Linked DNA regions of Schizosaccharomyces pombe. The protein of the gene in region 2 interacts with the protein of the main gene of each other region in a pairwise test. Each region holds a gene or a part of one and is shown on either strand. Other genes may lie near its edges. The genes, in order: pre5 and fap1.

Region 1 (17,142 bases), on a different chromosome or scaffold from region 2:
TTTGGTTTGGCGATCAAATTTGCGGTTGCCCTAGGACTTCACAAAAACTCTGATGATCCTTCTCTTACCCAAAATTCCAAGGAATTGAGAAACCGATTGTTGTGGTCAGTTTTCTGTATTGACCGTTTTGTAAGCATGACTACTGGAAGACGCCCTAGCATACCTTTGGAATGCATTTCTATACCTTACCCTGTTATATTGCCCGATTTAGAAATACCGGGTTCTCAGTCTATCGTCGAAAACATGCGTGCCGTTATTAACTTGGCTAAGTTAACAAATGAGATTTGCGATTCGCTGTACTGGAACCCTTCTCCAAGCTTTGAATCGCAAGTTAATTCTGTCCGTAGGATTTATGCTCGTCTAGAGCTTTGGAAAAGTGATTTACATTCTTCTGTGGTTTTTGATGAATCGGCTGTTCAGCATCCACTCTTCCGGTCAAATGCACATGTTCAAATGATATATGATAATGCGATTATGCTTACTACGAGAGTTATTATGGTAAAGAAATTAAAAGATAAAGATTTAACTGCTGAAAATCGTCGCTACATCCAGCTATGTGTTGAAAGCGCAACAAGGGTCATAAACATAGCACATCTTTTATTAACACATAAGTGTTTGTCCAGCTTATCGTTTTTCGGGCTGCATGTTCCATTTGCAAGCGCACCTATTTTACTCTTGTCTCTTCATTACGAAAACTCTCAGGATATTCAAGCTGTAGTCACAAAATTATGGCAGGTATTGGAATTTCTGAGTTCAAGGTGTGAATTTGCTAGAGAAAGTCTAAACTACCTTAAGTCATTTAACAAACAGTTATCTAGGCGCAATGCCCCAGACATTAATAATCCGATTGCAGATTTCCAAAATAGTTTTCAAAATTGGCAATCCTGGGTGGGAGATATGTCACATGGAGACATGCTTTCTACCTTTAAGCTTACAGGAGAAAGCTCAAATGGTAGTAATAGTACTCCAAACGAAGCATTCCAACCTTTTGACCAAACATCATCTCTCTATAATGTTCCGGGTCTAAACAAAAGTTATGTTAGTAACCAACCCAGTTTGCTCACACCTGAAACTTTTCTACCGGATCCAGTTCTCAATTTGGAAGTTGATAAACAATGGACGGCTCCTACGTTTTTGAGTTGGACGGAACTGCTAGGCCCTACTAATGTCTCTGAGCAGTCTTCGCATACTGCAGAGCAAACTTCAAATTTGACCCTTGAAAAAAATGGATGAATCTTTAATGGTTTTTTGCAGGTCTTTGTTTGTTTTAATTATTTCTACGTAATTCATCATATGCTTTGTTCGCGTGGTTAAGGAATTAGCATTTAATACCAGTTTAGTAATTTGCACTTGAGAGTATCCTCATCAATCTAATACTTTAAATTTTCTCTTACTTTTTAAAAGTTAATTAAATTTCATTACTTTTTAAAATATAAATGAGTCAATGTAAATGCAGTAGAAATAATTGCGTATTTTATTGTTAAATATAGTGGTAATTTACATACGTAGTCAAACGACTTGAGATTAAGTAGAAAAAATCAAACCACTTCAAAAAATTATTAAGAAAATTGTACAAACCAAAAAAGAGATAAAAAATCCTTAGTTGATGAATAGAGTTACATAAATGAATGACTAAGCTGCTGAAATGACTCATCTGAGCAATTGGCATATGTTATGGCTTTTTGATAATCATCCTCCAGTTGCTTAATACGACTGGCATAGTAATTATCATCAATTGCACGCATTTCTTCACCTGAAAATGAGCCCGCGGTATCATTTAGTTTTGAGCGAACATCATAATAATCTTTAGATACCTGAGGGGACAAAGACAAAAATTTTTGCTGACTGTTGATAACATCAGAAAGTCTTTTATGTAAATCATTGTTATCCGGGGCTTTTGTTTCTTCAGATGTCATCAAATTACCAAAATGATTACGATATTTTGTAAACACACCACCAGAAGGTATGTCAGATTCTTTTGAACTATGTGCAGCACTAGCATTATTGAATGAATCCTCTTCGTTAAAGTATGATCTTAAGGGAGAGGAGGAAGCTGAAAAGTCCGTAGGAAGATGAACGTCAGTAGAGTCCTTTCCTGATAACTGTTGATTCATTTTTGAATCAGCCAATGCAATTTGTACCTCAGAGAGCTTACGCTGAGTAATTTTTGCTTGCTCGGTAAGATCATTGACCTGATCAGAAAGTTTACTTTTCTCTGTCATTACAGAGGAATATGAATGCTTTAGATCATAGAGCTTTTGCTGAGAATTTAGTAGCTCTTTAGTGCGACCCTCACAAAGTCTCTGGGACTCACGTAACAACTCGTGAAGCCCTTCTAGCTGAGACTCCAAGTAGGAGATCTTTTGTTTCGACTTCGAAAACTCTTTAAGATTATCTTTATTTTCGTTAATAGAAGATAATAACTTTGATAATCCGCTTTGCATTATAGCTTTCGAGTATTTAGCATCAGACACTGATTGTTCTAAGGCTGACTCCAACTCTAGCGCACGAGATTGCAAATTTTCCAACTCAATCCGAACATTCTCATATTCGTACTGTAAATTTAAGCACTTCTGTTGCAACGTACTTTTCTCATCCCTTTCTCTACGGAGCGAATCTTCAAAAGACAATATGGCAGTATTGGACACATCAAGAGCACTAGCGGATGCTTCAATCACATTTGTCTGCATCTCCACTCGATCATGCATCTCAATTAGCTTCGTTTCCAGCTCATAATTTCCATACTCCAAAGCCTCGCAACGAGAACGATAATCGACTAACTCTTCTGAAATTTGCAATATCTGTGATTGTAGGTTTTCATTTTCTTTTTGTAAAGATAGTATTTTTGATGAATCTTCTTCAAACACACTACGAAGTTTATCATAATCTACACAAAGTTTCTCATTTCGAGATTTTAAGAGTTCAGAAGCGGATTCATTTTGCTTCAATAACTGTTGAAGTTCAGTATTTTTTTGATAATAAGAGGTTGCCTCTTCAAGAGTCCCTTGAACTTCGTACTCTAACTTTCCAACTTTTTCTATTAAAGATCCAACAGTTTCGTCCGTTGTCTTTTTCTGGATCAGTGAACGTGAATAATTTGCATTTTCCACGGCAGCATCTCTCTGAGCAGCCAATTTTGCGTTTTCAGATGCTAGGCTAACGATTTGCTTTTTAAACTTTTGTTCATTAGATTCAAGCATTTGCTCAATCACCTTCAGTATTTCCAAATAACTGAGCTGCTCTTTTTTCTCAAGCCTCAATTTTTCATCAACGTGTTGAAACAGGTTAGGAGGTTTGAGAGTATAGCCTTGTTGCATACAATATAACAGTTGCTCCTCAAGCCAAGCTACACGATCATCAGAATTAGAAAACTTAAAATCTGATTGGAGTTTAAGCAGAGAATTACTTTCACTTTCGTTGATTGGAGATGAAGATTCGGAAGACCTAGAAATAGTATCGTTTCCATTAGGTAAAGGAAGAGACGCAATAGGTTTCTCAATTTCGTAAGCAAAGGGGTCAGCTTGCCCAAACTCGTGAAGAGAGAAATCTGCTGAATGATTCATTCCAGAGGTTTTACTAAGGTTTCTCAAAGAATGTAATCCTTGTTCATCCAAGCTAGCATAGTGCCGATGCCTAGCTGATCTTACGGCTTTTTGATTTTGCTCCAAAAAATTGTTAAATTGACTAGACGAGGTGGATGTCACAGAATTCTTTTTGGAATGATTAGGACGGTCGTTTAGGTAACCAAGAGAAACCGTGTGGTTTGAAGCATTTGAAGGTTTCATGCTAATATGCTGAAGAACAGGAATATCAGAAAATTTATCCTTATCCCAATACAAATTTTTGGGATCTGCTTCATAACATAACAGTTGCTTAGGAGCGTCAAGTGCATTAAGATATAATAGTAAAATATGATTGTTTTTTGAAACAATTTTGTATGAAGATGAATCAGAAAGCAAAATAGGGATCGGATTTGAGACTAAGGACCACCGCTGTTGACTATAATTAAAAGCCCAAAGCTCGTTGAGTATCAACCCTTTATTATCACGACCACCATAAATGTAAACCGTGTCATCTATTGTAGTAGCTTGATGACCTTCCCGCGGACCTGGAAATCTTCCTATAGAACGAACCTCGGTCCATGAAAGTGTTTCTAAATCAAAAAGCCAAAGATCACTTAATGGACCAGTATCATTATGCCCTCCATGTACAAATATTTTTCCTTGGACAAGAGTAACTGAGTGATTTGAACGAGGTGGAGGGGATGAGCTATGCAAAAACGGTGTTTCCCATGACCAATCAGTCTCATCAAATTCCATATTAGCCTTTTCAACATTATTTGCATTTGCCTTTTGCTTGAGTTCTGATTGCGTCCTCCGATCAACCCCTTTGGTATCAAACAAATGTATATCATTCAAATATTTTCCTTGACATTCACCCCCAAATATCCATAATTTAGAGTCAACTAACAACATAGAATGTCCAGTGCGAGGCGATGGTAAGGGGGACTGTGTTGAAACCAAATTCCATTGATTACTCTTGAAATTGTATGCGTACAATGAATTATCGCCAACTTCAAATGTGGAATCTGTTTCTGAGTCGCATCCTCCGAAAAGATAAATAGTGTCAGCAGAACAAACGATAGAATGACCAACTCGAGCAGGAGAATCATTGTCTTCCCCTCTATTGTGAGAATAAACCGTGCATGAATCCAGGTCCAACTTAAACAAAGAGTTTGAAATACCAGATTTTTCTCGTCCTCCATGTAAGTACATGAATTTTTCATTCGCAGCATCTAGACAAGAAGCCGGTTTTACAGCTTCCCATTTAAAACTTTGGTTCGTAGATGTCCTTTTATCATTTTCTTTGACTTTGCGAACAACCCATGCACGTATATTTTGCTGATCAATGCTACCGGATTCCACTACATCAAGCTGTTCAGCAGACACATCCTGAGAGTTATCCGATTGACGGCTTAAAACCTTTTGAACCATGTATTGCGATCTTTACCTTGCAAAATCGCTTACTGGTTTTGCAGTTGCAGATGGTAATCAAAGCGAAAGTTTAATCCAAGGAGTTTTTTAAAAGGTTCGGTTTTTACGCTTAAAAAAGAAATAAAATAGAAAAAATATATATTTTAGTTTTAAAAAAGAATTAAAAAGTAAAATTTTCGAAATAATATGAAAAGAGCATAACTTGTGGAGGGTAATGGAAACACACAGTCCATCAGGAAACGGCAACTTAGAGTAGAGAAGTCTTAGAACAACGAATACAATTGCAATACCCTACAATAAATTTTTGTAATACTGTATGATGTTTATAATTTATATCTTCATTAAACATAAAGAAGGGAGAGTAGATACAAGTTTAAGCGCAATAGTATACATTACCGTTGAATGCTCTGTTTGAATTGAAATTTAGAAGTACGAAATATGCTTCACGTTTGAAAAGCTTAGAGCAAGAAAAATGTATTTTTCCAATTACTCTATAGGATAGAATTTAAAATAGACAACCACAAAAACTGTTATTTACTTTATAAGCTAATTGTAGTAAATGGCCTACAAATATTACAAAATTTGATTTATAAGGCACATTTTAAAAATAAAACATTTGAAAACACATGCTGGACAAGTAATCGGACAAAAAAATAAAATTGCGATAAATGAAGCAAATGAGCGTCAATGCAATAAAAATCGATTCAAAATGGACCGATAAAAAGTTAGGTAAAAAAAAGTCGTTCAATTGGAATCCAAAGAATAATGTGTAGTATAAATTAATGAATGAGGTCTATAACAGCATCACATGGGATAGTTTGCAGGACAAGAAAGAATAAATAAAAATAATGAAGCACTAAGCGAAGGGCATAAAAAATAAAAATTTACTCTGAAATCGAAGAAAAAGAACGTAAACTCATTCGTATCTCCTTTAGTACAATCTCATTAAAATCTTCAGGGTTATCAAGATAGCAATGGTGACCAGCATTTGAAATTATGTGGTGCTCCGCCTCAATATTCATCTCCTTCAATCTGTTTGTCGCTTCTAAACCAGCAACATCATCCATCCAATCTTTATCTCCATACATGAATATAGTTCGACACTTCAACATGCGCAAGCGATTCATAATACATCGTCTAGCGAAAGCTCCGGGAGCGAGCAAATTGCCAAGTGCATACTCGCTGGAACCCTTGAGACGAAATATTGAGTAGCAGTAATTATGTAATGCCCTAAACGTTTCCGGGGGAAGCGTTGAAAACCTTCTGCTAGACCAAAAACTCATTAGTTTAGGACCTAAAGGCCCGCTTAAACGAAGTAGAGAAAATGGTGTAACATTTTGCTCCCATAAGAAGGTGATAAATCTTGGAAGAGGATTCTTTGGCTTGCTTGGCCGGGAAGGCTCTAAACCTGTAGTTTCCTCTTGGGTTTGCAGAACCTCATTAGTAACATTACTTAAAGGAGGTTCATCCATAACAGCATGCACAGCAGAGGAAGCAACGGAATTGTAAACTTCCGCATCATCGTTGCTTGCAAAAGGGTTTTCAGGAATGGCAACTGGACTAACTAGTAAGAGTTTCTCAACACGTTCCGGATATTGCATGGCGTAGACAGCAGACAAATAACCTCCCATACTATGGCCCACAAGGATCATTTTCTCGATACCATGACCGATTCTCCATGTTTCTAATGACTCAGTGAAAAACCTCTCTGTTTCTTCGACCTTCTCTGAAGCGGTTTGCCCCTTGATATCGAAAGGCGGTCTTGACGAGTTTCCCATGCCTAGCCAATCAACAAAATAAGAATTAAAATCCTTTGTCACACCCTTAGTCAAACCATCCATGTTCCGAAAGTAAAAACCAAGACCAGCTCCATACCCATGCATGTAAACAATGCTTCGCTTGTTCGCTTTTCCTGTTGCTTTATCACTAACACAAACCTCATGTACCAATCCATCATTATCGTAGATTTTGGAATCTACAACTTCAACTAACCTTTCTGGGTCCTTTTCATTTTCCCGAATAAAATCGACAGTGTGCAGGACTTCACGCTCACATTGTTTCGCATATTCTTCAGAGCATGCTTGACGCCATTGCCTCCAGGACATGCCAAACGTTTGCGTATAAGAATTAGCTGCTTCCTCACTTCTCACCGCGACTTTCACTTGGCTCATAGTAACGGTGCAAACGCTGAATTCAACACAAAATGGTCAATGAAGGAGTCAACCCCGCGATAATGACAATACAAACAAATTACTGTTTATGAACTATTTAAAACAAAATAATTCCGATATTTAAATAAAATTCCGGATATTGGCTCGGCAATTGGAATTCAAAGTGTTGTGCTGTGGGTAAGTTTATGTAAGCAAGATACGAAGGTTTTGATCTGACAAAGCAATGGCATTGTAACAAGCAGCGGAAAAGCAGCACATTCTCTGACTTTTTTTCGTTAATCTTCGTAACATTTTGGCTGAATTAAAAAAAGGCGAACAAATGATGAAGCAAGTTTTCATGAAAATTTCATAGAAAGACAATTGAGGTTTTAGTTCAATACTTAATACAGCAATTGTTCAAATATGATAAAGTCCCTTTATGCAATAAATACTTCAGTGCAGCAGAATATTAAAATTTGTTTCCGGCATTGTTATTGACAACACTATTGACATTGGTCATTGTTATGAACATCTAATAATTATTATTTTTAATTCATATAAATATAATAAGTAACGTATCAAGTATAGCACCATTCATCTAATTACTTAGCAAATTACATAAAATAATACATTCCTATGCACAAAGTTAACATTTATTTTTCATTAAATTTCCTAGATTTCTATCCAGCAACTTAATAGCTTGGAAATGACATGCCAGAAATCGTAATTGTCGAAGGAATAAAAAGGATAGCTAAGAAAAATCCCTATAAAGGATAATCATCTTTTCGGAATTCTATGACATATGTACTTAAGAAAGGTATCATTTGAATCATGGCAATTAATCAGTTTCCATGGCATCAGCAGAGTCAAGTATAGCCTCCGCAGTAGGCGCTTGAGGTTCTTCGGCGGCAGCCCTAGAAGCACGAGCAGCCGCGGGACCTTTGTCGCCTAATTTATCAAGCCATTCTTTTGTGTCATTTTGATCGTAAAGAGTATATTTTTCATCTTTTCCAATGACGGATATAGAAACGTTTTCTTCGGTCAGTTCTTGGTCTTTTGAAAGAGTATCACGTAAAGCTCTAAGTGCTGAGAGGATAAGTTCTTCTCTGCTAGAATCCGGAAATGTATCCAAATTTCGCTCTATGTAAGTACGAGCAGACTGGGATCGTGAACCCATACTAGTACCCAAATATTCTAGAACAAGGCCAGAAGGTTGAAACTCGAGTAAATGTGGACCACTTTCATCGTACCCAATTACTAAAAACCCAACACCATAAGGTCTCCTTCCGTACTCCTGAGTATTAATTTGAGCCTTTTCAGCAACCTTGCTCATTAGACGACGGACAGGAATAGGTCGAGTAAACAAAGTCTTAGACGATAAAGCTTCTTGCTTCATATAGTTACTGTTGCGTTAATATTCCATTATAACAAACGTAAATTGTAATATACAAAATCATTATGCCTAGTAATACTCTCAAAAAAAGTATTCCCACCGATAGCAATTTCAAAAACCAAAGCAAACACACATAGAGATTACGGTTTTTGCATGACTGTCTTACATCCATTAAATGCCTTACCTCAAAACTCTGGCGTCAGGAGCCAAACCAGCTATAGCAATACCAATATGGTCATCAATGCGAATCAACTTCTTTTGGTAGCTGCTAAGTTCCTCTGCGTTTCTCTACATTTTGAAAGTTAATGGAGGCCCTAGTAAAATAAAATTGTGGATACCTTTAAAGCGACTAGAACAGCATGTGTTTTGGAAACGAGTCCAACCGTAGCTGATCCTTGTTTAATAGCTTCTAATGCGTATTCTACTTGATGGAGTCTTCCTTGAGGGCTCCACGTAGTCGCATCTCCATCTAATTATAAAGTTAGCAGACCAATTTCTTCTATTTTACTTACCATATTGATTTCTAAACATATTGGTTCTGGTCACGTTCAGCTAATGTTTCTAATAATCTCGTAGCCCTGCGCTAAATATTAGAAATAAAAGGTACTAAGTGGGGGCAGAACGTATTCCACTTATAATAATTACAAAGCAAGCATACCTTGGATTCTTTTGATGCTAAATTATTAAGTTGCAATTTTATATAATTTTCACGTTTGTACGCATGAAACTATAAATACGACCTGATACCTCTGAACGTGGACACTCTTCCAAGCGCTTACTGAATAGCATGGTTAAGAGTAAAATATGTAAAATTTATTTATTTTCGGATCAAAACTATTAGATTTCAAGACATGGAAGAAAAAGAGTAATATAGACGAACATTAATGACATGAGTTACTTCGCATCAACAATTAGTAGTATGGGCTCATCCAAGTCAACAGGCTGCGATAGCAATTGTAGTTCTTCGTTAAAAATACGAACAAATATATTGTACATCCCTGTTGTATATGCAAACATGTTGCGCTCGATCACGACATGACATTTGGAATTGTTAAAGCATACAATGTCCTCTTCTGGGCCATCTAAAATTAGTCCGTTGAAGGAAGAAGTGTTAGCTTGAGTATTTAATTGAGTCCACGATATTTTATAACGCATATTGGTATCGGCATGACCTGTTATAGAAATTAGTAAAATTAAAAGACATAGGAAGGAATATGAAGTATCAATAATTGCATACCGAAAAATTCAAGAACAAGTTTGAATGGTTCTCGCGGACAAACCGTGGTGACTTTTTCAGAATCATAGCTAACCCAAGCCTGAATCCTAATTGGTAGAATAGATAGATTATTTGCCATTTCGTCAGACAAAATATGATTTCTCAAGTAAATCTCTCCATGGTGAAGATTATCGTCGGTTTTCCAAGAAGCTTGAACTTCTTTTAGAAAATACTCCTTAATCCAAAAACGCTTTTTCATAGTATAGCTATCCTCGATACTTTTTTTAAATCCGCTAGATAGTACGAATTGCTTTGTAGATAAGTTTGGAATATCAAGATTGATTTCCTCAGAGGACATAATAAATCTTTTTAAACGGAATAATATGACATTATCAGCTTTTGGTTTGATTAAAACTGATCGGGACTCATCGGTACTTGCTGTTTTAACCGTGACAAATAAAGGCTCAGAGAAATGATTATAAAAGTTTAATAGCACCAAGCAGTAGCTGGGATCTCCTTCAGTATCCATAAACGCAGACCATTGTTTCAAATCCACTCTTTTACTTATGTTTAAAGAAACCGGGATTCTTAGACGTCTAACATAAAATTCTGTGTCTTCAGGCTTATGCACACTACTTTCAAATAATATCAATCCTTCTTGAGAATTTGGCTTTGCCCGGATTTTAATATGAATTTCCCTGCGCTCACCTGGTGAAAGTGAAAACGGTTGGCTACTCTCGACAGTAAATGTTGGGAGGTTAAATTCTTCAAATTGGAGTTCATATAATCGATCTGCTGTGATACTTTTATCCGCTATAGCTTGCTCAAAAGCTTTGGATGAACTGTCCTCAAAAAGAACAGATATGTGAGATGCCTCAACAAAAGACGTATTTTCAATTACATACACCAATTCACCCGTTTCGTATTCAGCAAAGTTAAACTTTCCAGATGTTAGGTTTTGAAAAGCAAGCGATAATTTCGGCTGGCTAGCTATAACTATACAATCAAATGACTTAGTTTTCAAGTCCTTTTTAAACGGAAAGTAAGTCCATAAATGGTCGATGGTATCCAAGGAACGAAGTTCAGCATTGACGTCTTTACTTTTCTCAAGGTAAACGTGCAATGACTTGTGTTTATCCTTTGCTTCGTAAACATACTGCAGAATTGGCTCACAGCCAAAGACTTTTACACGACAACCAACAATATGTAATTCTCCGGTTTCCGTAGGAGTTACAGTAAGTGTAGTACGCTCTATAGATAGTGGCCGCATCGTAAAAGTAGAATGTGAACATTTTGCAGAAACCCCTTTCGTTTCTAAATGAACATCTTGCACTTCAACTGATACACTAAGAGGGTTACGAAAATAGATCGAAAACGCAACTTGTTCATCGACAACGAGGACTGATTTCGATTGGTTTTGGTCCTGTCTTCTATTAAATGGATTATAGATGAATGGTCCTTTTTCAATTGATTTTGGTAACCCGTTTCTTAACCGTTGATGAATTAATTCGGCATTCTCGGACGAACCAATGAACTTTAAATCCGTTATCATAAATGGGTCCCAGTATGGAGCGTTAATGTGTATACCAGCATTGCTAGCAAATAGGTACGTTTTTCTAAAAGCTTTAAACATAGAGATTTGTTGGGAAGAAGAAGCAGTTTGAACAGAAGTGAGAAAAAACAAAGAAATTAAAAGAAGAATACTGCGATAGTCAGATAGAGAATCACAAAGGGATATAAGCTCATTAAGAACATCAAATTGTAAATTTGACCAACCCCATTTTGTTAATTCTGGATTTAGAAGACTACCATCAGTTTTCAATAGGCCATATTCTTGACATATTTCAGATATCAAAGGTAAGATGTTACAGTAATGAGTGCTTTTAAAGGATTGTGCGGTATGCGAAGCAATAACCTCCGGATGTATTCCATTTTTTGAAGCATTTTGCCTACGCGTTTCTAATAGTACAGGTGTTAAACTCGCAACCAACTCACGCAACATCTTGACCCTTAACCGAGAAAATCCTATACTTCCAAGCATATTTGCCATAGCCCCGTATATGCGACAACGTTCACGAATTGAAAGAGAGTTAAGATGCTGTCCTTGGGCTCTCATAATCCATTGACAAATAGTTGCTTTATTTGGTACATACGTTGTAGCTTTTTTAACAGGTCTTATGGGGGCTTGAGCAATAATATGATCCAAAGCGTTGTCGTTAAATCCTTTACAACTATAAACAACTGTGAGTAAATGAGCATACCGTAGGATACTCTCGGAAAAACAGAGGCCGGGGACAGCATCATTAGGTTGAAGAGTGGATTTTTGATATAATTGATCAACTACGTTGCGCATTTCTGTGATAAAGTTTAATAGTGCATCAAATTTGAGTGGTCCAAAGGCATTCAATCTATCATTATAAGAAGGGAACATGGATAATATATTAGGAGGAATCTGGACGTCCACATGCAAATGAGCCATTATAACCAGACAAACAGTAAATAACTCCAACGAAAGTCCTTGCCAAAGAAAGTCTCCAGTTGCTTTAGAAAGCGCTATGGCTGTTGAGAAATGCTTCAACGCATTGGGAACTCTGCCGGCCAGCAAGTATAGCTGGCCAAATTGGTTCTCAATACGCCCCTTTGAGAGACTTTTGGATCGTTCCGTTACACTATTCACAGATCTTGATGTGATCGAGGGAGTTCTCGTCAAAGTAGGACGAGAAGATGAGCCTAAGGAGTGAATCGACGCATTAGAATTTTTCCTTTGCAAGGGAGCCAAATGTGGCATGTCAGTAATTGGAGAAAGGATCACGGAACGCGCGTGTATAGAAAACTCGAGCGAACTAAATCCTTCTAACAACTCAGCAGTGATATCGCATAAAATAGACCGCATTACGGAGTTTATTGAAAAATCAGACCTTGGTCCTATTATGATATTGGGAGCATTAAATATATTCTCTTTGTCTTCTGGACAATTAAATACGATGCATTTTGCAACTAACGCATGAGGTATCCTTCTCCGCCAAACATCCAAGGTAGAACATAATTGCTCAACTTCTTGTTCCTCTGACCCATCTACAATACCAATAAGAACGAAAACGCGCCGAAAATATTCAAATTCTTCTAGTAGAGCTTGTTGATCATCAAGGCTGGTTAGGAAATTGTACACCAATCTGCCCAACGGAAAAGCCAAAGGATTGAAAGAACTCGCTATTAAGATTAGTCAATAATCATAAAAATAAGAAACATACATTTTCTAGTAGCAGTAGCTACAGGGACATCACTCAACTGAATATGACTTACTCTGCGGAGTAATTGTAGGTAGGACGAGAAACTTTTTCTTCTAACACGACCAAAAGGAAGGACTAATGATTGAACTCTGGAAGGAGCAACAAACGAAAAAAAATCAAATTCCATAGCATCTCCAGCAATGTAATGTTTTGGAGCACGTACTGAGAACAAAGTGCTTGAATACCATTTAACGGATTACATCCATACCATCACTAATTTATTTTGCATATTTCTGTTGATTGTCGATCATAAGTCGGTAAAATAAACTTTTCAAGATGATATCGCTTAACAATTATCATTGTTGTGAAATGTCTAATATTTGTTATGCTTTGGAAATACCATTCTGCATATACAGCTGTACAGCTGTTTTCAGTAGATTATTTGGAATCAAAATATAATTACAACTCAATGAACTGGTTGCAGTAATTTTAATTAAGGCATGTGTAAATAATATGTAAACTATCTGAAGAATGTGAATCTGGCATTTCAAAAATTTAAAAATCCGTTTGTTTATGCGAACTTGACTTTATAGATTAGGAGGAGTATTTTGTAATTTTTTTCCTTTTTTACAATCGTTTGGTATTCATGAAAGAATCGTATATCTCGCCATAGCAATTTATGAAAGGCATTCTGAATGGCAAAAACTGTTGAATATTGAACCGTTTTGTTATTATTATTATTGCTATTTATTTTATTCTCAAAATGGTAAAAAAATAAGAGAGATTGAAGGAAATACTGGTGAGGATAACGTAATGTTTAGAAGCGTTACAGCAAGATGATTGTGTTTCAAGTCAACTTTCCAACTTCAAATATGAGCGCTACAAGTAGAGAAGGAAATAAGACAAAGATAGGAATAGTAGGAGGTAATTTTGGAGAACAACAGTTTCATAAATGATGAGTGAGCATGCTGACGATGATTTTTAGGTGGCATTATTGGAATTTGTACGGCGTTTTACTTAACAGAAGAACAAGAATACAAAAAAGGAGAATTGGACATATTTATATTTGAATCAAAAGAAATAGCAGGAGGTAGCTCCGGCATTGATTCTGCAATCTTGACAAAACTGTGCCAGAATGAAATCATACAGCCACTTTCAACTCTCGCTTTGAAGCTTTATGAAGGATTGGATAAAAAATTTGATGGGAAGAAAAACTGGGAATATAGGACTGCCAATTCTTGGTTTTGTAAGATGAAATGGGACAATACCAATGTTGCCAAAGTTCCCGATACTTTGCAATGGCTTCAACGAGAGCGCATGCAAAAATGTAAGCTCATAAGTGCTACCAAAAAAAAATAATAACTTTATTGTATAAGTCATATAGAGACTAACCATTTAGGTTCTAGTATCGGTTCCGGCAACGATTTTGCAATGATCAATCCAAAATTGTTTTGTCAATTTATGGCAAAAGAAATAGAAAAACGAGGAGTAAAGTTTATATTTGGAAGTGTGAAAGAGGTTAGTAAACACCATATTACATACGTTCCAAAACAAGAAGCTGAAGATACAATAATAAAAGCACAGGTGCATAAAACGCTGGTGAGTGCTGGGCCTTGGACTGGTTATCTATTACCATTTACTGGTATTGCAGGTCTATGCATTCCCATAATTCACCTATCGGTAGGAAATTTTCCCGTTGGCGACAGCATTGTTGTGTGTTGTTTAAATACCATGGGTAATCTAAACATTTGCAAAACAACCGAAATTTTCAGTAAAAACCGGGAGCAGCTTATTTTTATGGGAACTCCAAAATTCCATTTGCTGCCAAAAGATAGTAATCGATGTTTTTTTAATCCTTTTGAAATTATCGAATTGAAAGAAATGACCGATTTGGTGCTCTCGGAGAATACGAAGAGTAACTACTTAGACGCATCTTTTAAGTTCCTTCCTACCAGTAGAATAACAGGTATCCCGATAATATCAACAACCAAGTCTGGTGTATTTGTTGCAGCGGGTCACGCCAACTGGGGGATAACTCAAGCTCCTGCCACGGGTTTATGTATGGCAGAAATGCTCCTTGGCAAGGAAAAAACAAGCATAAACACAGATCCTTTTCACTTAAATCTCGGTGAATGAGGATTTCAAATTATATCCTCTAATTTTTGTTTTAATTGTTTGTCAAAAAAAACGAAGGACTCATTCACTGAAAGGTGAAAATATAGAAGCAGAATGGATGCTTATTCCTTTACCGAAATAGAATATTACAGTGTTGTAAAATTTTCTAATCATATTTATTAAGGTTTTCGTTTTTATCGCATTGGAAAATCGATTTTCTTTTTTTTTGTTTTACAATTTCCATCTCGACTTAGTATACCATTCGTTACCTCTAAGTTGATTGTTACTTGAGAACACTTGCTCGTGTTTTTACAATTCTGCTATACGCCAACAACAGTAAGACACTAACATTCCTCACAAAATGTCTTCTTATCGGGGATCAACTCGACCCAGAAAGAGGACGAGAGAGGGAGAGAATTATGGATTTCGTCCCCATAGAGGAAACTCTCAAGAGCTACTTGCAGCGCGTATAAAAAAGGATATTACCTTTTTGGCGGATCCTCGAGGAAATTCAGTAGCTGCTGATGACATTAATTATGTTGCTATGTCTCTTAGTCGTGAAGCTAATGATCCTGAAACCATTTCAACTATCTTAGATTGCATTCAGACAACGTAAGTGATAATTTATACTGTCCCTTCAGAAAACTAATTTAATCCTTAGTGCATTTATCATTCCAGTCAAAATACCTCATTTGGCTACATTAATTATAAGAGCCTCATTAAGGGTTCCTTTAATCTTAGAAAAAGCAGCTGCGTATTTTTGTTTACAGTATTTTACGAATTTAAACTCCTTTCTTTATTACGAGGCTAAAGTCGATCTACGAATGCTCATTTGCATGTCATTTGCACTTCAACCAGGTACCCTTAAGCCACTATTTTCATTACTGGCTGACGCTATCTCAAAAGAAACCAAACCCAGTGTCTGGGGAGATAATTTCCTGCGCATAATTTTGATAAACCTTCCATATTTCATCGCAGCTAACAACGATCTCGGTAAAAAGGATTTTGCTAATGAGATACTGGATCAATGTGAGATTTACGTTCGTCATAGGAAATCTTCGATAACTCTAAGTAATCCCCTTTCAATACATGACAATCTTTCAGAGGAGGAATTGGACTTACTCTATAAACAACTAATTCTATCTCGGGAAAACGACTTTACTTTTCCTTATATATCTCAACCCTGGAAGTTTTTTGAATCTGATTTCGTTCATATTGTTCCGGTTAGCCCAAGTATTCCTGAATGGACGTTTCAGCCCACTCCTCAGCAAAATGAGCTACCTTCCTTCAAGAGATTTTTTGAGCTTTTTAATAACTTTGAAATTCGCACGACTCCTGACGCTTCCGACGTTGCAGCCAGCATATTTCGTGATATAAGTGTGGATGTTATAAACCATTTGGAATTTAACCGAGTTGAGGCTGCTCAAGTTCTTACAGATTTAGATGTTTATTTTACCTACAAAACTTTTGCTCTTCGTGGTACTCCAGTAAATGAATTACCAAATTTAGATCCATCGGAATCACGTTGGAAAGCAGAAGATATCATAGTTGAAGCTGTTTTGGGTGAGCTTCTTGGTTCACAGAATACTACGTATAAACCTGTCTATTATCATTCGCTTTTGATTGAATGCTGCCGTATCGCTCCTAAAATTTTGGCTCCAACTTTTGGAAGGGTCATTCGGCTAATGTATACCATGTCTTCTGATTTACCTTTACAAACACTTGATCGATTTATTGACTGGTTTTCACATCACCTTAGTAATTTCAACTTTCACTGGAAGTGGAATGAGTGGATTCCTGACGTTGAGCTGGACGATCTTCATCCAAAAAAAGTTTTTATGCGGGAAACTATTACTAGGGAACTTATTTTAAGCTATTACACAAGAATTTCTGACTCACTCCCTGAAGAGTTACGTTGTTTGCTTGGCGAACAACCGTCGGGTCCCAATTTCGTGTACGAAAATGAGACTCATCCGCTATATCAACAGTCAAGTCAAATTATCGAAGCATTGAGATTACATAAACCGTTAGAAGAACTTGACAT
Region 2 (17,142 bases):
ACAACGAATCCAGCAAAATCTTTTTGAAAATAAAACGATCTTGCTCTTCAAAATGTTAACATTCCAATAACTAGTGTAAAAATATAATATATTAACAAACTAAGTCGCCTCTAAATATTGCGGTAAGATATGCGTACTTGATGCTACGTAAATCCGAGATTGGCAGATAACGTAACAGTAAAACGTCGTTTAACCGATACAACGAATAAAAGCGAGTACGGTATTTGCATTTAAACAAAAAGCTTCTTGATCATTTTATTCTATTTTGATTTTTTTTTTTATGTTATTTCTAATTAGATTGTCAAATTTAATTATTTATAAATGTTTGAATTGCATCTAAGTATCAAAAACAACCTCAGTAAGCTGTGACGCTTTAGTTCTCTTAAAGCCAACGAGTTAGCTATATGATGCATATCTAAAATAATTGAAAAAAAGGTTTTACTTAGCATGCTTTGTAATATTAATTCAGGACATAAAGTTCGATGTAAAGGGTATAGAAAATGTCCCTGTTTTTATTCGAAAACAGTAAACCGACATAATCGTCTGGATGTTATAAAGTTGATGTTAATTGTTAATGTGTATACATTCAATGCTCGTAATATTTCGAATGAAGAAGAATCAATTAGTATTCAACACAAAAATAAGGTAGCCTAGAAAGATAGACGCTAGCCTTTCTTTTGTTTAGCATTGCACATCTTAGCTTAGCTCTTGTCGAGAGGGTCCAGCTCGGCTGTGGTCTAAAGCAGCAAACTCCAAATTTTCTTTCTTCCATCTCCACTTCTTCAATAAGGGCTCCTCTAACTCACGAAACATACACCCTATGCTATACTTCCCGAGGATTGGAAAGAATTTGAATCCATGGCCTGAACCACCTGTGCATACAAACAGATTTTCATAATCTGGATGATAATCAAATACAAACTCGGCATCGGCTGTGTCGGTATAATAACAAATACGGGTTTTGTAAAATGGCCTTTGACTAATTTCTTCGCCATAAGTACGTTGAAGGTTTCTGCGTAAATCTAATTCCGCTTCCTTGGGCAGGATAGGAGAAACGAGAGGTTTCTTTGGTGGAACAGATTCGACTTTTCCGGATTTAAGATTTTGCATTCTCGTAAATCCGTATCCATGGCGTGCAAATTTTAGATAACCATCGGGGGTAGGGGGAAAAATATAAAATCCAGTATCAAAATCTAAGTATACAGGATTTGTCAAAAAGCGGATGTACTCCTCAGGAGTCAATTTTATGTATGCGACTGGTTGACCGGTTGCCAAGAATCGTGTGTGGTCATTAGGTAAAAGAGATGCAGTCCATGCACCTGTAGCAAAAATAAGTTTTTCGGCCATGTAAGCTCCAGTAGTAGTCCTCACGCCTTTAACAACGTTTTCTTCTGTTATAAGCTCTTCAACAGTTCCCTCAGGTCCGCTAATGAAAGAAACACCGGCATGTGCTAAGTAATTAACTACGGATTTCACAGACTGCTCAGCGTTGGCCCATCCAGAACTAAAATTGGCATACCCAGCTTCTCCATCATTCAGCTCGCCAATCCATTTTGGAAAAAGTTTCCGCAATTCTTCTGTAGTTTGAAACTTTGCTGCTGACACACCCATTTTTGTCAGGTTTTCCAGACTCATGTCCCGATACTCAACATTGTCACGGCCAACAAACATAAGTCCTGATCCATAAAATTGCTCTTTAAAAAGTGGATTTGTGCGCCATTCCTCTAAAGCATCAATACCCATTGAACAATACACTGCATCCGCATAGTCTGAACGAATTATACGATTTGCATCGACTGAAGACCCATCGATAACAGGCGGAGGTGCTCGATCCAAGATTTTGATCGTATATCCACCACGTTTAGTCAACTCTAAAGCTGCAGATAATCCAAACACACCTGCACCAACAATGATTACGCTAGTATTCTTTACCATTCTTAATCCCAAAAATATTACAGATGCGGTTTAAATTAAATTTTAAAAGGTGGTTTAGCAGTCGGGCTTAATATATATTATCAGTACTCATTGCCAGCTACTAGTACTCCAAGATAAGGTGCTGTCTAGCGAAGTCAGGCATCGATATCGCAAAATCACAGTCTGTTGATACTTCTGATGTTAGCAGTAGTTCTTTTGATACAGAGTTAGTCACTTAGAAAGAATGAAAATAAATCAACTAAGCGAGTCTGATTTGAGCCGTGCAGAGGGAATGTGCCAATTTGCTAGCACAGGTCATGCCGAGTTATCAAAATCAACTATGGTCCAAAACAACCGGGTGTTTATTTAAAAATTATATTTTAGTCTTTATTTAAATGAACAATATCTTTTATTTTCACTCTATAGGAAAAATACTCTTCGCACTTGTCTTGTTTACATTTTAATTCTCCGAAACTCCACTTCGTTAACTAGCTTTGCGAGGTTTTGGGATTTTATAAGTTTGTTTATTGTACACTGTAAGTAACGTTATAAATGGATAACACAGCAACCCTGTTTTGCTAACTGTCCTTGCAATTTGCTTTTACTGTCACTTAACTTCCTCCAAACACTAAACAATCATATAAACAAAGTCAGATGGGCAATTGCTTGTCTTGTTGTGAGAGTATGAGTGCTTCTTTAAATCAAAAACTTATTAACAAATACATAGAATCAAAAGATGAACAGTATGAGCCTCTTTTGGCCGATCGGGAGAGGGAAGCTGTTGCGGATTTATTAAGCTTTCTTGAAGATGTTAGTGAATGTCGATTACTTTAAATTCTTACCTTCTCTTGACTAACGTTATCTTGTTGTAGAGAAATGAAGTCAACTTTTACAGCGAGGAGCCCTTACGTGCTTTAACCATTTTGGCATACTCCGATAACCTTGATCTACAGCGTTCAGCAGCGCTTGCGTTTGCAGAAATTACTGAAAAAGGTAATGACATAAAAACAATAGTTTTGGTTTAAACAATTCCCAACTTCGGAAATGAACAATGAGGTCTTGATTTAACAAAACGGAAAGAATATATATATTGTGTTATCAACTTTCTTTCTTTGTTTTTTTTACAGTGATTGACTAACACACTTTTTTTAGATGTTCGAGAAGTTGATCGTGAAACTATAGAGCCCGTCTTGTTTTTACTCCAGAGTCCTGATGCTGAAATACAGAGAGCTGCCAGCGTTGCTTTAGGAAACCTTGCTGTAAATGCCGAGAATAAGGCCTTGGTCGTCAAATTGAATGGATTAGACCTTTTAATTCGTCAAATGATGTCTCCTCACGTTGAAGTCCAATGCAATGCTGTCGGTTGCATTACTAATTTAGCTACCCTTGACGAAAATAAATCAAAAATAGCTCATTCTGGTGCCTTGGGCCCTCTTACCCGTCTTGCCAAAAGCAAGGACATTAGAGTTCAAAGAAATGCAACTGGAGCATTGTTAAACATGACTCACTCATGTAAGTTATACATTTGTCGCTAATTATTTGTTAATCTATTGAGCTTTGTTTTGAGCAAAAAGTTTCAATTAGTGGTTGTCTCATAATCTATGGATATCAACTAACTATGATACTAGATGAAAATCGACAGCAACTTGTCAGCGCTGGTACTATCCCAGTGCTAGTATCTTTGCTTCCTAGCTCTGACACTGACGTTCAATACTATTGTACTACTTCTATTAGTAATATTGCTGTTGATGCAGTACACCGTAAAAGACTTGCCCAAAGTGAGCCGAAACTCGTTCGTTCTCTTATTCAATTAATGGATACTTCAAGTCCTAAAGTCCAGTGCCAAGCTGCTTTAGCATTAAGAAACCTTGCCTCTGATGAGCGTTATCAAATAGAAATTGTTCAAAGCAATGCCCTACCCTCTTTATTAAGATTGCTTCGTTCTTCCTACCTTCCTTTAATACTTGCTTCCGTTGCCTGTATCCGTAACATTTCTATACATCCTTTAAATGAGTCTCCGATAATTGATGCTGGTTTTCTTCGTCCGTTGGTGGATTTATTATCTTGTACGGAAAATGAAGAAATACAGTGTCATGCTGTTTCTACCTTACGAAACTTAGCTGCTAGCTCGGAGAGAAATAAGCGCGCTATTATCGAAGCTAATGCTATTCAAAAACTTCGCTGTTTAATTTTAGATGCTCCTGTTAGCGTGCAAAGTGAAATGACTGCCTGTCTAGCCGTTCTTGCTTTAAGTGACGAATTCAAGTCGTATCTTCTTAACTTTGGTATTTGTAATGTTTTAATCCCATTGACAGACTCTATGTCGATTGAAGTCCAAGGCAACTCTGCGGCTGCTCTGGGTAATCTTTCTTCTAATGTCGATGATTATAGCCGGTTCATAGAGTGTTGGGATTCTCCAGCTGGTGGCATTCATGGTTATCTGGTCAGGTTTTTAAGTAGTGAAGATTCTACTTTTGCCCATATTGCTGCTTGGACCATTGTACAATTACTAGAGGCTGGTGGTAAGTTTTTTTTAGAGAATTTATTGACGATTTTGTCTACACACGATATACGGAATATATTCTTTAGCTAACTCATTATAGTTCCACGTTTAACTGCATTTATACAATCTAGCGACGATATCATCGAATTACTTAATGACATAGTTGCTAGAGATGCTAATAATGGAGAGTATGAAGATGGTGAAGGCGATGTTATATTATTATCTGGCCGGGCATTGCATTTAATTGAACAGGACACAGATTCTTAATTTTTATTTTTATTGGCACATTATATTACCCTTCATCTCTTTATATTTTTACCGTCTCAACCCCGTTTGCCAGTTCGGAAGTCTATTTGACTTAATGACATGAATCACATTTTATTAATGATTAGTTTTTTAGAAGATGATAAAAGTTCGTCCGTAGTTGATTCCAAATAATAAACTTATCCCTTCAACACCTGAATAAAACATGTGACATGGAAAAACTAACATGCATATCTTAATAAATACTACTATGAAACCAAAAAATATCAAAATGAACCTAAACTTTAAGAGCAAACAAATGGTTGTAATATATGATAAATAAATGACACCGAAAACAGAAATCCTTTCTTAAGATTTCTTCTTGTTTGATCGGAATTTACCAAACAGTTTTGTCCACAAACTGACCCTTGGAGATGCCTTTTTATTAATCTTCTGCGATTTTTTATTGGTTTCCGAAGAAGCAGTAACAGTGACCGGTGACTTTGCGACGATCGGTTTTGTATTGTTCACGAATGGCGGTGATGTGCGAGTTGACGGTTTACTATCTGTAGCAGCTGAAATAACCGACCGCGATGAAATGTTATTAGCAAAACTCATGGAAGGAACAGCAGTATCAGAAACGGTGGAAATCTTAGGCTGGGGCTGTTGATTGTCAACAACGACTTTGGTACTCTCATTTGCTACAGCATCATCATTTTCTTGGTTACCCGATTCATTATCGGAAGAGTCATTGATTAAAGGAAGCTTCGAGATATGCTTAACATTAGGATAACTTTCCTCAGATGCATTCACATTTTCAGGTATCTGTTCTGGAGAATCTTCTTTCGGGACTGCAGGAGTAAAAATAGCAACTTGGTCAGTTAACCCAACATCAGAAAAACAATTGGGTATGTCGAGAGAATTGATTTTAAGTAGTACCTCTGGCCAGTGAATAATCAGTCCCTCTACAATCTTGGCTTCAACTCTAGCCTTTTCGGTTTCAAATCTCATAAGGTCATTCACATTTCCAGAAGGACAAGATTTCGAAAGATCAGTAGAAGAGTTACCCAACAATAAAGGACCAAAAATAATACCAAGGGCTTCCGGCTTCATCAAAGTAGAGTCTTTGGTATTTTCCATTCCATTTTCCAACTCTTGAGTCCGTGTAGCTATTTGATGCAATAATGCTAGTAGAGAGCAAAGGATAGAAAAGCGCACGTAAGAATCTATTTGTGAAAAGCAAAGAGCGGCCATTTCATTCCGGATGTCTATAGGAACCTTTACTCTACTTGAATCAACGTATAATGGTACTAAAAGATTCAATATATCTTTATGCGTAAAAAGGCCACCTGGCAATAACATAATGTACCGTTTTAAGACAGCTGCTATATCGATATAACTTGGAAATCCAATACGCTTAAAAATTTCTGATGTTTCATCAAGCCAAAAATGAGGTGGAGAATAAAAGTATTCTGTGATTGCTTTTATTACGGGACCAGAACCACTAATGCGGAAAATTCCCGGTACATGCAAAGCATTTAAAGATAGAAAATGTACGCATTGAGCAAAAATATGTGGGAGCAACAAAGAAGGAGGTGCACATTCAGGAGTGGGAAATGTAAATTTGCAAAGATTTGTGGGATCTGACGTTAAATCGCCGATAGGTTTACCAAATACGGAAGGATTATGAGCAATTGCATTATGTTGATGTGCATTACGATGAGGAAATTTAAAATAATTCGTTAAAGAACGACGATGCAAGCCAGTGGACTGACGTTTTGGAGAGTAAGTAAGAGAGGGGCGGCGGAGGATAGAGGACCAAGATCCCTTGGAAGGGCTTCGCTTTGGAGAATCTTGAGAGGCATTGAACTGTCTTTGAGAGCCAAATGAAGATGGTGGGTATTGGAGAGGTTCCAACGTATCTGATGAGGATAGTTGATTCGTAGCCGACAAGGAGGGAGAATCTTGTGAAGTTTGTAACTCGTGTGAAAGGGAGCTTAGATTTAGGGATGACCTCCCTAGAGGACCATTGTTTGAAGGTTTATCAAACCGAACTTCTGATACTGCGCTTTCTTGAAGGTAAAAGCTAACATGTTCTAGGGAGGACGGAGTATCTCTCTCTTCCAATAGTGTCGAGTGTATCAGCTTAGTAGGGGATCCACATGGAGTGAAATATTTATCAGTATGAGCATCTGGAGGTGAAGAACTTTTGGATTCATTAAATACGCTATCGTCGGAGTACAGAGATTGTTTAACCTCTTTTATCTGGGAAACGTACTCCTCGAGATTAATTTCGTGTATGTTGTAAGTCTGAGCTAGCTCACGAAAGCGTGACAAGCACGAATTTTGCTTAGTAAAGAAAGGAGCTTGCTGTCCCTCCAAATTGCTTGCAGATGATGAAATTGATGTGGAAAGGCCATTTTCCACTTTCGCTAACGATCCTCCCACCTCTAGCGACGGTTCTTCGAAACGTTTCTCATCGGTCTGCGCATTGCTAGACAAGACGACATCCTTGTGCTCTTTCAGGTCCCCAAGAGTTCCATTGTTGAGAGTCGAAGGATTTAAGGTCATACTTCTCCCAACAATTTCAAATTTTACTACACGAGGTTTTCGAGGCCCGTAAAAGCTATAAACCTCAATATATACTCTCCACTGATAGAATTTTGAAATAAATGTCGATTAGAGAGACGTTGGCTTTGGTAAGAACCGTTCTACATCCGTTACTTACTAAGAGGTTCAGCCAAGTAGCAGGCGTTGAAAAGTAGAGTACGAGCCGAAGCGAAAGATAGGTGAACAAGTAGTCACATATTGAACGAACCAAAAACTCATCTTCTACACGGACTATTGTAATTTAAGGAAAGACAGCAGCTTTCAAACTCCCATGGTGCAGTTACTAATGGAAGTATTCCACTGAGAAATCTGAGAAGCAATCTTATTATTAGTTCGTAAGGAATTCAAATGTTTGGCACCAAAGCAGATATTGTTACTATATGAATTGATAATTTAAATAACAATCTCATGCTTAAACACACTTTCAAGCTATTGGAACATGAGACACAAGTATAAACAGTTCCATAGATGAGCCTCGCAATCGAGCGATTGTTTCTCGCTTAGATATAACTGTATTTTTTATGAGGGTACATGTGACTAGCAATGCGGTATCAAAAAACCAAAGGACAAAATACAAAAAACAGGATTAGCTGTTATCCAGAAAAGAATCAAATGCAAGCATGAAATTTTTTGAATAATTTTCTGAAGCACAAACAGCTCTAAGTATCAAACATTAAGAGTTGCGAGAACCGCCTAAATGGAACACTCGCTTTCATCATCATACTTGATGGTCTGAGATTGATCTGGAAAGTGGAGTGAACGAACACTAAGAATGAAAATGCTAAATTTAAATTGCTATCTATTAATATATAATTTTTCTTATCGTTTGACTTACACTTCCATTCTAGAAACTTGCAAATAGGGGCAGTAAAGATAGGCAGCAGAGGCCCTCAAAAGGACTGAAAAATTATTTACTTCACCCAAAAAAGCGTGGGCCAAGTTTATGGAAACATCTTAGCGAATATCTATCATCAAGACGAAAACAATTATCTCAAATGCAAACGGTAATAGAATGCTAACAAGCAACTATGATAACTATATAATGCTTTATAAATCAGTCTACCTTTTTTACCTCCAATAAACTACCACATTTCAAATCAAAATTTTCATACACCACATACTTTACGGATTTTTTACACATTAAAAACAAGTGAAGAAAAAACAATTCATTTAAAATTATATCTTAATCTATTTCGTAGAAAGGTCGTCAGCTATAGAGATCGCCCTAGGAGCGCAATCAAAATGATAACGTGGAATAAAAGAGGAAAATCTCATACATGTCTATCATTATCGTAGCAAACCCCAGAAAAGGAAAAGGGGGAAAACAAGCATAAGAATAAAAAACCAAAAGTTCGCACATATGTAAGACCCCCCAAAACCGAACGCATGTTCAGTTGAATAGCTTGGAGTTTAACAACGGCTGATTAGAGAGATATAGATTGACGACGGAATAAATCGAAAGAAGCAATCTAATCCTTGGAAGCAGTGTAGGCAACCAAGTCAACAACACGGTGGGAGTAACCCCATTCGTTATCGTACCAAGAGACGAGCTTGACGAATTGAGGAGAAAGTTGGATACCGGCAGAGGCATCGAAGATGGAGGAGTGGTTGTCACCACAGAAGTCGGTGGAGACAACAGAGTCCTCGGTGTAACCCAACACACCCTTCATGGGACCCTCAGAGGCAGCCTTGATAGCAGCCTTGATGTCCTCGTAGTTGGTAGGCTTGGCCAACTTGACGGTCAAGTCAACAACGGAAACATCGGGGGTAGGGACACGGAAAGCCATACCGGTAAGCTTACCGTTAAGAGCGGGAATAACCTTACCGACGGCCTTGGCGGCACCAGTGGAGGAGGGGATGATGTTGGCGCTGGCGCCACGACCACCACGCCAGTCCTTCTTAGAGGGACCGTCAACGGTCTTTTGGGTGGCAGTGGTAGCGTGAACAGTGGTCATGAGACCCTCTTCAATACCGAAGGTGTCGTTGATGACCTTGGCAAGGGGAGCCAAACAGTTGGTGGTGCAAGAGGCGTTGGAGATAACCTTCTCGGAGGGGTTGAACTTCTCCAAGTTAACACCGACGACGAACATGGGAGCATCCTTGGAAGGAGCAGAGATGATGACACGCTTGGCACCACCCTTCAAGTGAGCAGAGGCAGTCTCCTTGGTAGTGAAGACACCAGTGGACTCAATAACGTACTCAGCACCAGAGGCAGACCACTTGATGTTGGCGGGGTCACGCTCGTTGTGGACATCGATGGAGTGACCGTCGATGACAAGCTTGCCACCCTTGGTCTCAACGGAGCCCTCAAAGCGACCGTGGGTAGAGTCGTACTTGAACATATATGCCATGTAGTCAAGATCGATGAAAGGATCGTTGACAGCGACAACTTGGATCTTGCCAGTGAGGATGGCGTTACGGAGGACGATACGGCCAATACGACCGAAACCGTTGATACCAACTTTAGGAATTGCCATTGTTATCTGAAAAGAGTTAGTAAGAAGAAGAGATCAAAGAGGAGAGAAAAAGGCAAAAAGAAGCGAGAGAGGGAAGAAAGCGAAGAGAAGAAGAAGAAGAAACGATGAGCGTCATTAAAAGAAAAGATATCATTATTGAGAGAAGAATAGAAAAGAAAGTATACTAAAAACAGCAGCTTTGTCGCTTTCGGCAAGTCTATTTTAATTTCTGACCAAACTGCCGTCAAGCGAAAAATAAAGCCTTCTTTACCGAAAGAAACGGAAACTAACGAATCTTATCACGACTTCGTTGTACAATTTCACCATACTGGATATGACATGTTTTCGTCATGTCAAGTAAAATCAGAGAGCCTCTTCTCTTGGCAATCTCACTGACCATTTTCATTTCAATTCATCGCTCAAAATCCATCTTTTTCAACTAAAAGAGAATATCAAAAGAAAATATCCCTTCCTTTTCCTCAATCTATTTTTCCCTCTTGGCAGGTGTTTGACACATGTCACATGTCTCACCAAGCCAATGCTTTGCCAATGCCACAGCGCATCACATACCTAATTAATTCGATTGCTATTTCTCAAAACCAAACAAGTACTATTGCTGATTTCTTGATACTACAAAGAAGCAGACTGGCCTACCACTCCTATTTATATTGTATGTGTTTACGCTAGAGTTGTCATGCCAACGACGGTATCGTAAGCGGCGATTTCCGTGTTCGGTACTTGGCAGATCGGATAATGAAATTAGCGGCCTTCTAGATAACTTCCCATGCGAATATTTTTGGCTCATAATCATACAACAATCGACGCATTGCGTTGACCTTTCCCTCGCCTCGCTTGACAGGAACGAGAGAGGCAAGGATGGAATGGCATGGAATGGATGAGTTGGGATGGCGGTGGAAAAGAAAAAGAAATGTAAACAATGAGTGTAGAGGAAAGAAGAAGAGAAGAGAATAGCATAGCATAGCATAGCATAGTAATCAAGAGGACAAGTGGGAGAAATGAGACAAGTGGTAAATCCAAGTCAACTGTGAAATTTCGAATGCAATTGGATTCAATCCATTTCTATTGATTCTATAAAAATGTTCATTTACTTCACTATTCATCGACTCACTTCACTAATAGTCATCGAGTATATCTGCTGTGTGTGTCAGTCTCGTCCCTTCCATCATCCATCAATCCGCCCTTGGAATGGCGTTTCCAATGCCTAGATGGAATGGAATGTTTAGAGGGTTGGCCCAGTTAGCTGTTGTTAGGCTGACGATTCTTGCATTGAATTGCATGATTTTGTTTGACCGTGCTAACAGGGCTATTAGCAAGGCTCATGGCATCCCAGCGGCTCCTCGGGAATAACGAGGTGCAAAGTCTCGTTAACATCATCTGTTTGTGAGGGAGGATGGAGGAGGGTAGGAGGGTAGGAGGGTAGCGAAAAGGTAGGAAGGGAGCGGGTTAGACGTGGAACATGAAGGAGAAGACATAGAATAACAAGGAGAAGATATAGAACAATTGTTTACAGTGCACAGTTTGGAAAAGAGATTCAGTTGGAAAAGGAAAATCGTTGATGTTGAGATTGTTATTGTATAAAGTTTTTGCTTTCTATTGACATCTCTCATTTACCTACTACCACTTTCCACTCCTTTTTCTCTCTCTCTCTCCCCCCCTACTTTATCGAGTTCAACAATACTCTGCTGTCCGACTATACTGAACTACGACGCTTTGCACTATGTTCCTCTGCGCTTGACTGCCCAGGACGTTCCTTCGGTTAATCGTAAGCTGTTTCTTCGGAAAAAATTGATCGGCAGTTGGGACAATTTGAGTTTCCGGGGCGGTTACAAGGTCTTGTGATGGTTGGCGGATTCGGATTGAAAGAACCCTAATTCACCTTCTAGAGAAACCTTATGTGAATGAGCTGACGAATCAACCATCGACGAGGATCCTTTCAAGGTCCGGGATGCGCTCATCCTCAAGTCCATACTGGTTCCGAGAGTTTCTATTGCGTCACTTTTTATGTAGGCGAAATTAATTTTGGCGGGCCACCGTCCGATAAGAAAGGAAAAGGAACCGAAGGAAGCAGGAGGAAGCAGCTGAAACAGCGCGAGACTCACATACAGAGAGTGAGGAATAACACAGTAATGCAACGTAAAAACAAAGCCATCAAAAAAGAACTTTGCTCTATGGAAACACACTGTAAGCAATGGAAACCCAGAATTGTTGTCTTCATAAAGGTCAATGAGTAACACAAAAAAATATGAGTTTTTAATCAATTGACTACTTCAATCCATTCTTTCTTCATTCAATTCCCATTCCCATTCCCTTCAAACGGCCGAACTAGTTTCTTCCTTGTCCTCCATAACGAGCAGTGTCAACAACGTGCACTATCCTAACGTAGAGTGTCATTCTTTCCAAAACATTTTAGCACATTGCGTTACCTCATGCATCACAGTAATGGGGTCCAGCTCGCTTGCTAATTTACCCATTCTCCTTGCAATCCACCCCGCACTACACTATGCAACATACCGTGTTTCACCGTCGTCTCTCCATATTCGCTTGAGTTCTTGGCGTTCTCGCAAACAAACTGGATGTCTCATAAAAGGAATTCCTCTTTTTCTTTTCTTTTTTTTTTTTGAATCTTTCTTACTCCCTTTGTCCTTCGCACACTTGATAAAACAGAGGAAATTGATTTTCAACAAAGCAATTGACTTTAAACTAAATTCACTTTGTTGTTCATTCACTTGTTATCCATCGATTTTGTTCGCTTCCTCGCTTCCAATTCAATTCATTGCACTCCCACCTACTGTATTTCTTCTCTTCTTCAAATTTTATTCCAGACTCTTTTTTTTTCGCATCATCCCAAGTCACATACTTTACAATTCATTTCGCATCGTTCTTTTTCTTTCGCACGCATCCCCCGCCATCCTACATACTATTTTCACATTTACTCTATCCATCCCAAATTTACCCTAAATTATCTACCACCATTCAAATCCGCTCTCTACCCAACAACCTCATTTACATGTGCCAATTCCTAAATCACATGTTTACCATGATATGTCTAACGGTATTCGAGGCGTGATTTCTAAAAAGTCATGCAATTCAACATAAATTTTCCCCAAAATTCATCGATAATCCTGTTACCTTTTTTTGTTATAAATATTCATTCCCTTTTCTCTTTTCTTTCACATTTGTCAACGCATTCTCTCACCGTTTCACTTGTCTCAATAGCTTTTTTACAAGAGCGTTCACTCCCATTTCACTTATTTCTTGTCTCCATTTTTTAATTCTCTGTAAATTTTATCCAATTCCTTTCTCAATTGCTTTTATATCGAGAAACGAATTAATTTCACCTGACTATATTGATTTGTAACCCAACCCACTCATCATTGATCGCACTTTTCCTTACCCATTTGTTTACTGGATTCCATCCGATAACCTATGCAATCCTAAAATAGCGAGACTCGTGAAGTAACATACTGCGGGTCTCGCTATTTCGGTGGTGGTTTTCTTCTCACTATTTCTCTATTTCACGATGGGCAAATTTTTCTTTATGATGAAAATATCTTTTTCCCTTTCACGTTCCAAGTTCTGAAATCATTACTTACAAATTACTAAATTTCCTTTCTAACATCTTTCTCACTACTTTCCTAAATTACTCCTCGATGTGTTATTGCCATTGCTCCAACTTTCTCCGTTCTTTATACTTGAAATACAGTTAACCCTTTATAATGACTACCATTTTACTTGCTATTACGACTCGCTATTTTTGCGTTATATTGCTACTATTTTCAACCTTATAGGAATTAATGTTTCAAGACATCGATCTATTGAATTTAATTGGTTTGATTTGATTTGAATTATAATCTACTAGGAGTCTTTTTCCTTTTCAGAACTTTTTCTACGTTTGTGTATGACACTGTCTCTTCTTCAACTACATCTACATGAACGAATCTTGCCAGTAGTGAAGGTTAGACATTCTATTTTTTCATGAGAATTTTACAACAGCGACATGCTGTTTTGCTAAATTTGGATGTTTCAATTTGCTATATTTCTAGAATCAATAATACGTATTATACAAATTTGCTCTTCATTTCAATGTAAATAAAAGTATCAAGTTTTTCTATTCAGTAGACTTAGCGTATAGGGTTGACGTAGTGTTGTTGACTGAAGTGTGGCATATATTACTAGCGAAGCTTTTTTTTTTTTACACTTTGCTTTAGCGAATTCGCTTAACATTTGCCGTCAAAAATTGTTTAAAATAGGAATGCCGAGTGAACCACCCCCCTAAATTGCCAACTGATTAAACGTGTTTCATTAGCACTTGACTTTTGGAAATATAATAATCATTACTTGAAACTAGTTATCCCACTTCGCATTGCTTACCCACACCTACAAATACCTTAACATCAAATCTTTATTTACCCTTTCCCTCTTCCAAAACGCCAGTTTGTTTTAATAATGCAATAAAAAAATACTCTATGAACATACAAGGAATTACCATATAATGGCAACATTACGGCGTGGTATGATATGTTATGATATGAACAAGCAACATTTCAAACTACATAATTAAGCACTATCAAACAGAAAACACATGTGACCACATAGCCATATAAATCACACACATATATATATTGAAAAACTTCATAAATTCGATTGTCCCAATAAAATCGATTTTACCCTTCCATTAATAGCATCTTGTCCGCAATTATTTTTAGCCTATTTTTGAATCCTTATAAAAAGCATTTTCCAACTTCTACGTTATCAAACTTTTTGATCATAAGTTCAATTTAAGCATTACCGTACCAACCTCCTGGTCGGTTTATAAATGACTGGTTGTATGCATTATAGCCTCCTAATCCATTACTACCTGCATTGGTAGATGCTCCAGAGTTGAACGGAAACCCAGCGGGTTGGCTGTTTGCATTGTTGACCTTGTTAGCATTGCTTTGAAAAGAGGTTGTCTGCTGAGTAGCAGCATTGGTCAATGGCGTTTGTTGAGGAGGTAAGCCATAAGGAGAGGCCGCATTGGCACTAAGGTTTTCAAAACTTCCAACATTACCCATAAACATACCAGGAGCCGCACGTCCCATCCCTGACATGGAAGACAAACCACCCAAAGTACTTGACATGCTGTTCGCCCCGGTTACGCCTCCATTTCCAATCACAGAGTCACGATGTCCAGCCGCTTTCTCAGTCATGCCGCTAGTATTTGCAGTGGCATTATTAATTGGGTTGCTAGTTTGTGTTCCACTCATACCACTTACATTGCCAGGCTGTTGTCTGTTGTACACGTTGCTGTGTCCACCAAAGATGGGAGGGAAATCATTAAAGCCGCTCTGAGACATGTATCCTTGCTGGGGCTGTCCAAACTTGTTATTATTGTAAGGCATCGTACCGTATCCATAAGACACATAAGGAATAGGATACATTGGAGGAAATGCATAAGGTTGGGGCTGTTGTTGAGAAACAACAGGGCTAGGAGTCGCTGTTCCAGCAGCAGGTAGAGAAGTAGCATTAGAAGATGCAACCTTGTTATGCATTACCGAGTGCACATCTGGTGTATTCGACGCACTACCAGCGACATTATCATATTGTGAGTATTGATTACGCTCATTATAGTAATGAGCTGCTGGTGCAGCTTGACCATATTCAATAGGAGACATAGTAGTGTATGCTGGATGACTAGTCTGTTGATATTGTTGAGAAGTATTTGAAGCATATCCCAATTCAGTACTATGGTCGATGTGTTGAAAATTGTCGAATGGGCTATTGGCGGAGCGGTTTTCCACAGGATTCATAAATCTAGAAGAATATGGAAGTGCAGTTGTCTCCCCAGCATTTGAAGATGCAGTTTCGTTGTTAAAAGCAGCTCCGGTAGACGGAGGAATAAGACTAGCACCAGCATATGGTTGAGGGGAAATTCCATGTGTAGCAGGAGAATAAATACCGCCATATCCGGCACTTTGTTTACCAACCACCGGGCCACTTGTAGCACTTGTGGATGCAGCGGGTATAGTCGTTTGGGCTGATACTTGAGGAGGGATGGCCGAGACAGAAGAGGCGTTTCCACTGGCCGGTAAATTTACATCGTGTAAACCACGATATGGTGTCTCGTTAACATGAGATTCCTTCAAGTTTTCGGGAACCTTCGATTGTGGAGCACGGCTTTCATATGCTGAAGTGTGTTGTTTCTTTGGGATTTTGGTGGATTCAGCAACTTTGCTCGCCTCTTTTTTTGCCTCTGGCTTTGGTGAAACTGTCTTTTTAGGAAAATAGGAACTTCTTGGTCCAGACTGTGCTATGTTGTCTGAAGAAGACTTTGTCGATTTTTTGTCCTCACCCCCAAGTGTCAAGCTTCCGAAACGCACTTGAACCTTTTCGGGAATAGCAGCAGTATTAGCAACAGGCATAACGACGGGGAATCTATCAGAAAGTAATCGAGCAGTAGTCATACTAGTTGTAGAGCTTTGAGAGCCAACAGCGGCTTGCTTCGCAAAGGAGGGCTTAGGTAGGGAAGCAGAAGAGATGTTGGAAAGCCCAGGAGCGGGCTTGACTGCATTTATGGCAAATGGGGCAGTACTCTTTTTGGGAGCTGAGGTAGCTGTGGAGGGGGTCGTTTCAACATTTGCGGGAGTTGCAGAGTCCTGGGATTTGTGAGGGAAAGGAACAGATGAGGATGACAGTTCAGCAGGTTTTTCGTAAGCAGCGGAAACATTAGTTTTAGAGGGTTGAGAAGGAGCGATAGAGGGTTTAGAAGGTTCGGATTCGGGAGCGGGAGCGGGAGCGGGAGTGACCTTTTTCTTCGACTTTGCAACTGAAGCCCAAGCCTTCTTTATAGGCTTTGAAGATGCAACAGCCTGATCAGCCGCACTGGTCGACTTTGCTGAGGCCGAAGTACCGCCTGCGGTGCCGTTCGTATTTGTTGAAGCAGCGGTATTAGCCGATGTTAAAACTGAAGCTTGTTCATTAGATGTAGTATGATCTTTCATTGAGGAATCTTCATTAATAGTACCAGGATCAACGGAAGAAGACACTGTCGTTGATGCAGGAGCTTTGGTAGAAATTTCTGAGGAAGGAAGATCGCCAGTACCAGCAGGCTTTTCTAAAGAGGATGGTGCATGAACGGAAGAAGGATCTGAGGGAGCTCCTGCTTTTGATTTTCGAACCCCCCGAGAAGTATCCTTAGAAGCGGAAGGTTTCTTTGATTTACGTGTAGCATTACGAAAGGTGGAAGAGACATTATCGGAAACTGGAGCATGACTTGTTGGTTTGGACTTTGTTTTAGGGATTGGCTTCTTTTTAACTTCACCCCATTTGGAGGCGTGACCTTCAGTAATATGCAATATGGTCAGTTCCAAATCCCGGTCCGCTTCTTCTAAAGCAAAACTTAAATCATCAATCGTC

Evidence for each region.
Region 1: the proteins of fap1 (region 2) and pre5 interact in a two-hybrid assay, tested with the Schizosaccharomyces pombe proteins (one large-scale study listed by BioGRID).

What each region holds. Positions count from the first base shown.
Region 1 is NC_003424.3:3,213,074-3,230,215, forward strand, and holds pre5 (proteasome core particle subunit alpha 6 Pre5), read right to left. Parts: upstream 9,082-17,142; 5' UTR 9,069-9,081; coding exon 9,050-9,068; intron 9,037-9,049; exon of another isoform or gene 9,007-9,036; coding exon 8,876-9,006; exon of another isoform or gene 8,826-8,875; coding exon 8,722-8,825; exon of another isoform or gene 8,548-8,721; coding exon 7,983-8,547; 3' UTR 7,776-7,982; downstream 1-7,775. Other genes in the region: DNA-binding transcription factor Thi1, read left to right, coding at 1-1,233; cell end marker Tea3, read right to left, coding at 1,617-4,994; cardiolipin-specific phospholipase Cld1, read right to left, coding at 5,879-7,165; TRAPP complex subunit Trs120, read right to left, coding at 9,432-9,709, 9,775-12,963, 13,005-13,170; tda3 (FAD-dependent amino acid oxidase), read left to right, coding at 13,856-13,907, 13,969-14,310, 14,383-15,119; cbc1 (nuclear cap-binding complex large subunit), read left to right, coding at 15,460-15,710, 15,760-17,142.
Region 2 is NC_003423.3:571,336-588,477, reverse strand, and holds fap1 (L-pipecolate oxidase), read right to left. Parts: upstream 1,936-17,142; coding exon 697-1,935; 3' UTR 217-696; downstream 1-216. Other genes in the region: protein Vac8, read left to right, coding at 2,569-2,596, 2,642-2,724, 2,787-2,907, 3,067-3,426, 3,543-4,436, 4,518-4,684; Rho-type GTPase-activating protein Rga6, read right to left, coding at 5,030-7,231; glyceraldehyde 3-phosphate dehydrogenase Gpd3, read right to left, coding at 8,740-9,747; RNAPII degradation factor Def1, read right to left, coding at 14,526-17,142.